Macaca fascicularis: one gene and its partner. The protein of the gene in region 1 binds, or shares a complex with, the protein of each later gene. Links are inferred from orthologs where the notes say so. Each region holds a gene or a part of one and is shown in the gene's direction. Other genes may lie near its edges.

The links. Proteins that work in one complex are often made in the same cells at the same time.
Region 2: the proteins of ELMO1 (region 1) and RHOG are in contact, whole or in part, in a crystal structure (PDB 7Y4A), measured with the Homo sapiens proteins. The link is inferred for Macaca fascicularis from reciprocal best matches to the Homo sapiens genes ELMO1 and RHOG. Residues at the interface, in NP_001193409.1 of Homo sapiens: Lys9, Val10, Ala11, Glu13, Tyr18, Pro19, Leu21, Met22, Ala54, Asn71, Gly72, Ile74; in NP_001656.2 of Homo sapiens: Val36, Phe37, Asp38, Trp56, Tyr64, Arg66, Leu67, Leu70, Ser71, Pro73, Gln74.

What each region holds. Positions count from the first base shown.
Region 1 is NC_088377.1:93,082,021-93,085,673, forward strand, and holds part of ELMO1 (engulfment and cell motility protein 1), read left to right. Parts: intron 1-412; coding exon 413-564; intron 565-2,747; coding exon 2,748-2,826; intron 2,827-3,653. UniProt on the Homo sapiens protein: Involved in cytoskeletal rearrangements required for phagocytosis of apoptotic cells and cell motility. Acts in association with DOCK1 and CRK. Was initially proposed to be required in complex with DOCK1 to activate Rac Rho small GTPases.
Region 2 is NC_088388.1:70,446,542-70,449,149, forward strand, and holds the end of RHOG (rho-related GTP-binding protein RhoG), read left to right. Parts: intron 1-738; 5' UTR 739-806; coding exon 807-1,382; 3' UTR 1,383-1,965; downstream 1,966-2,608.

The sequences.
Region 1 (3,653 bases):
ATGAGGGAGGAGCCTGGGAATGCAAGAGGAATGGCAATTATCATATGTTGAAATTACCGTCCCAGAGAAACACAGGCATCCTTACAATATTTGTGTTGAAATTGTCTGCCCCCAAAAGATGAAACTCAGGAGAATAGTCCTGGGAAATACAGAAAGAATAATCTTTGGAAGTATGTCTTTTTGAAAAAATTTGCTTATCAGTGAATTATAGAGATGTGATAAATCATGCTTTGTGATGATATCATGAATCATCCCTGGATTGATGGGTTTCTTGCTATTTGCTGTAATTCCAGGTCATCCTCAGTGCCTGGTGTTTCTTAAATGAGTTCCCGATTTGCTTCATTTGTTCCCTTCTCCACGTCTCTGCTCTACTTACCACGAGCAGTCAATTGTGTCCCACTTGGATTTTCAGATAGCAAGTTTTGTGAACAAGTCAGCCATAGACATCTCGATCCTGCAGCGGTCCTTGGCCATTTTGGAGTCGATGGTGCTCAATAGCCATGACCTCTACCAGAAAGTGGCACAGGAGATCACCATCGGCCAGCTCATTCCACACCTGCAAGGGTAAGCATGCTGAGATGCTCTGGGGAGGAGAAATGCTTCAGGAAGATGGCCACGGTGATGCACTGGGAAACATTTTGTGTTTTTATCGTTTGGTTAAATGTATAGAAAAAAATCTCAATATAACCAAACCATGTGTCCCACTGGAATGGCATGGTTACTTTCCCTTGGCCCCTGTCCCTCACTGAACTCCAGACTGGTTCTTGGCACTGCCTGTCCCCACACCTGGCCCTTGGTAAGCTCTCAATTTTAATGCATATTGGTAGATATTGGCAGAGTTTTACTTTTAAGAAGGTAAAACAGGATGATTTGTTCTCTTAAGTTCTCTTTCCTAAACCATCTAAGCTAATGTTTTCTGTGATATAATGAGTATTTTCATAGTTAATTAGAAATGTAATGTTATGCCTTTTTGCTAGGAATTTTTAAAGGCAGGCTTCTTTCTTAGTTATGCTCAAGGTGATTCTAGTGAGTTGCTTCTTTTGTATTTTATAATAAAATAAAGGTTTTTTTTTTTTTTCTAGTGGCTTGAGCTATAAAATGGAAGTAAGATAGCTGCCTCTGCAGCCTGCAGTCTTTGAGGCATTTTTCCCCTTCTTTCCTCCCTTAGGTAACTAGGAAGGTTGTCTCTGATGATACCAATCTGAGGAGGACTCTATTGTACAGTGCTACTTTAGAAATTAAAGTATTTTGGGTTGCAGTGATAATAAACATTGTGAGCTCGCTCACACAGGAAAGGAGGTTATTGGAACAATACTGGGGTACCTTGTAGAATCCAGAAATGACATAAGTAGCTAAGCCTTGAGGAGGAGAGAAACCATAGCTTCCCTGGAGTCCTCAGCAGATGGCCTTTTCTCTAGAATTGTGATTGGCACTACAATGACCCAACTCCCACTAACTCTTGTCCCTGGTCCAGTAGGTCGCAGTTCTCAAGAGGAAACCCGATTGGCCCATTTGGGTTGGTGGTGCAGGGTGGGAATGGTTCTCTGAAATGTTAACTGTTGTGTTTATAATATAAACTACCAAAGTAGATTATATTAGATATTTTTTTCATTTGGAGGTGGGAAGATGATCAGCATTTAAAATTTAAGTCACAGAAGCTGAGGATTGTGGTGGCCTCAGTGATTGTGACCTCAGAATCATAATTCTTCAAAATGATGAGAATGTAGGTAGCTTCTCTAGAAATAAGACCAGTTTCACATTTCCTTTGAGTGTGAACTGCATTAATTTATATACTGTGTCTTTTCTGGGAATCTCAAAGGCACACATCTTCATCCCAAAGCACATTACCAAAGTGAAGAGTTTATTATTCTCCAAGTACTGTGCTAAGGATTTTATATGCATAATCTCATTTTATCTTCACAGCAATCCCATGAAGTAAGTGTGTCTAACCCCACGTTGTAGATGAGGTAACTGTGCCTTGGGGGATACCCATGAACTTGTCCAAGGTCTCAGCCAGCCTGTGATGAACTGGGCTTTGCACCCTATCCTGGCCTGGTTATAAGCTCCACTTCTGTCTCGCTGGCCTGATAAGTTATTCCTAAATGTAGCTCATAAGTCACTCTTTGTTTATGCCTTGAGTCCTCCTTATTTACTGTTTACCACATGCCTTACATTAGAGCTTTGTTTCATTTATTATTTCTGGTTGCTTTCCAGTGAAAATGAGATTTATAAACAAACACCCGTTCTTTTTGTTATTTAAATGTTTATATTTGGAAATAGAATTTTAGAATATGTAATAGAGCCACCCAATTAGCCCAAGAATGTAGAGACATCTGAAACTACTCCCTGATATATTTCTTGTATCAGACAGAAAATTACACATATGTACACACACATATACATACATACATACATACATACATACAAACAACTATTACTAGTAGTACATCAATTACAACATCCCCTAGGTTTATGCTTTCAATCTGAATAAGAGAGAAGGCTGCCTGTATTTCTGGGCATTCTGCACTGACCAGTGTACTGTGAGCTGGTAATACTAGTTGTATATTTACCGCCTTGTGATGTTTGAAATGCATTCTCAGTGCTAAATGCATTTGCTAGGCCCTACCTTTGTCTCTCACTTGTTTTTGGGAGAGGAGGCTGATTTTGAGGCTTTTCAGGGTTTGACCCAGGGCTAGTCTCTTCTAACTTTGTGTTCTGATTTTCTGAATTGTTCTGTATCTTTACAGGTCAGATCAAGAAATCCAAACCTATACTATTGCAGTGATTAATGCACTTTTCCTGAAGGCTCCTGATGACAGGAGGCAGGTAAGTTGCATTTGTTTAGTCTAACGGCTATGTCAGGGCTAAGAACTTTGTGTGCGGAGAACGCCCTCTCCTTCCATCCGGGGACTCGTTGGGCCACTCTGCTGTCCTGGCCGCATATGGACTCTCCACAGCAGCTATGTTCTGCTGCACAGCTGGCCCGCTGGGGTCCTTCCCAAATCCAGGGGCAAGTGGGTAGAGACGGTAAACCCTTGACTGATGAGGGATGCTAGGAGTGTTCCAGCAATAGAGCCTTTTCATGAAATAGAATGCAACCTGGAAGACCAGATGTACAAAGGTGAAAACGTTGCTGCTGGGTGGAAGCGGAGTTAGGAGTCCCCGCGACCTTCTGTCGTTTCATGGGATGCTCACTAGGGTGAGGGAAGTGCAGTCCTCGTTTTCTGGATCAGGAAAGGGAGACCCTGAGAGGCGCCACGTTTTTCCCAGGGAGGGAGGCGATGGAAGGTGAGAGGACAGGAGGGATAATATGCAGATGGCTGCTCCTGGTGGAGATAACTGCATTCACATGTCAGAGGGGCTCCTTGCTTGGTGAGATTACTTATTTCTGTGTGTGGATGTGGCAGGGAAAATGGAGCCATCTCTTTCCTCTGTATAAAAAAAAAACCAGGTGCAGTGGCTCACACCTGTAGTCCCGGCCCTTTGGAAAGCCAAGGTAGGCAGATATTTGAGGTCAGGAAGCTGAGACTAGCTTTGTCAATATGGTAAAACCCCATCTCTACTAAATATACAAAAGTTAGCCGGCCTGTTTTACAGCCATGATAGTACACACTGGTAATCCCAGCTACTCGGTAGGCTGAGGCAGGAGAATC
Region 2 (2,608 bases), on another chromosome or scaffold:
TGTCTGTATAGCCTGGAAAATAGCTAATACTGGCCAGGCGTGGTGGCTCATACCTGTAATCCCAGCACTTTGGGAGACCAAGGCAGGTGGATCACAAGGTCAGGAGATCAAGACCATCCTGGCTAACTCGGTAAAACCCCGTCTCTACTAAAAATACAAAAAATTAGCTGGGTGTGGTGGTGGGCGCCTGTAGTCCCAGCTACTCGAGAGGCTGAGGCAGAATGGCGTGAACCCAGGTGGCGGAGGTTGCAGTGAGCAGACATCACACCACTGCACTCCAGCCTGGGTGACAGAGCGAGACTCCGGCTAAAAAAAAAAAAGAAAAGCTAATACTTATGGATGAGGCACTGTTTTAAATGCTTTACGTGTATTATATAATCCTTATAATGACTCAATGAGGTAGATATTATTTTATCCTCATTTTACTGGTAAGAAAACTTAGGCATAGAGAGGTTAAGCAATTTGTTCAGGGTTACACAGCTAGGAAATGCAAAACCAAGATTTGACCTTAGTTTATCTGGCGCCAGAGCTTATGTGCTTTCTACCACATTATACTGCATCTTTGCTCGGTCTCAGGGCCTTTCATTGTGTATCTTTCTGATGACTGTCTTGGTGGGACTTTGGGATAGTGTCAGGTTAAGGGAACAGGAGCCGGTTTCCCTTTGTGTGCCCTTATCTTTTCTTCCCAGTAGGCAGAGGCCTCCCTAACCAAGAATGTCCCCTTTCATCCGTCCACAGGTCACTGCAGCCAGAGAGGTCCAGAAGAGAGAGGAGGCACTGCCTCCACTACAGCAACTGCACCCACGATGCAGAGCATCAAGTGCGTGGTGGTGGGTGATGGGGCTGTGGGCAAGACGTGCCTGCTCATCTGCTACACAACTAACGCTTTCCCCAAAGAGTACATCCCCACCGTGTTCGACAATTACAGCGCGCAGAGCGCAGTTGACGGGCGCACAGTGAACCTGAACCTGTGGGACACTGCGGGCCAGGAGGAGTATGACCGCCTCCGCACACTCTCCTACCCTCAGACCAACGTCTTTGTCATCTGTTTCTCCATTGCCAGTCCGCCTTCCTATGAGAACGTGCGACACAAGTGGCATCCAGAGGTGTGCCACCACTGCCCTGATGTGCCCATCCTGCTGGTGGGCACCAAGAAGGACCTGAGAGCCCAGCCTGACACTCTACGGCGCCTCAAGGAGCAGGGCCAGGCGCCCATCACACCGCAGCAGGGCCAGGCACTGGCCAAGCAGATCCACGCTGTGCGCTACCTCGAATGCTCAGCCCTGCAACAGGATGGTGTCAAGGAAGTGTTCGCCGAGGCTGTCCGGGCTGTGCTCAACCCCACTCCGATCAAGCGGGGACGGTCCTGCGTCCTCTTGTGACCCTGGCACTCGGCTTGGAGGCTGCCCCTGCCCTCCCCCACCAGTTGTGCCTTGGTGCCTTGTCCGCCCCAGCTGTGCCTTAAGGACTAATTCTGGCACCCCTTTCCAGGGGGCTCCCTGAATGCCTTTTTCTCTGAGTGCCTTTTTCTCCTTAAGGAGGCCTGCAGAGAAAGGGGCTTTGGGCTCTGCCCCGCTCTGCTTGGGAACACCGGGTATTCTCATGAGCTCATCCAAGCCAAGGTTGGACCCCTCCCCAAGAGGCCAACCAGTGCCCCCTCCCATTTTCCGCTACTGACCAGTTCATCTAGCTTTCCACACAGTTGTTGCTGCCTATTGTGGTGCCTCCTCAGGTTAGGGGCTCTCAGCCATCTCTAACCTCTGCCCTCGCTGTTCTTGGAATTGCACCCCCAAGATGCTCTCTCCCTTCTCCAGTGAGGGAGCCACAGAATCCTGAGAAGGTGAATGTGCCCTAACCTGCTCCTCTGTGCCCAGGCCTTACGCATTTGCTGACTGACTCAGCCCCCATGCTTCTGGGGGCCTTTCCTACCCCCATCAGCATCAATAAAACCTCCTGTCTCCAGTGGCCCCGGCTCCTCCCTGTGTGCTGGGCATTAGCGGGTGGGCATGGGCTAGGGCTCCCCAGAGACTGGGAGCCTTTTGTTTTTTCTAGTAGACAATAGGCTTCATTGTGGTCCCCTCACCCCCCAATTTCCCTAACAAAGCTCTAGGCTCCCTTGGAGGGGGCAGTCTTGCTCTGGGGCCCAGTCACAGATGCTATAGTGGACTCAGACACAAAACTTGAGGAAAGACTTCCTGATCTTAGGACTCAGAAAGGGAGAGGTTGAGAGCCATTAGCCTAAAGGCAGATGCTCTCACAGTCATGCATCTGAGAGCTGTACCTCACATCACCAAGAGGACAGTGCTTTAACAGGAGTTGGAGTTTGAACCCAGGTCTCTGCCTCAACTGAAGACTTCCAGGTGTCCTAGCTTGCAGTCCTAGAATCATTACAGATAGCTCAGTCACTCCTGCTCACCAAAACAGAGGCTTAGACCAGCCTTAGGAGACTCCAGACCTAAGGGGGATTGGGGGGATGCTGCTAGGAGTCATACCCTGCCATGGACTTACTCCCTCCCCACTCTTGAGCCTGTTTCTCTCCCAGTTCCTATCAAACAAGATGAGCCCCAAGACTGGCAAGCCTAAGCGACTGTTGGCCCCCCCAAAAAAT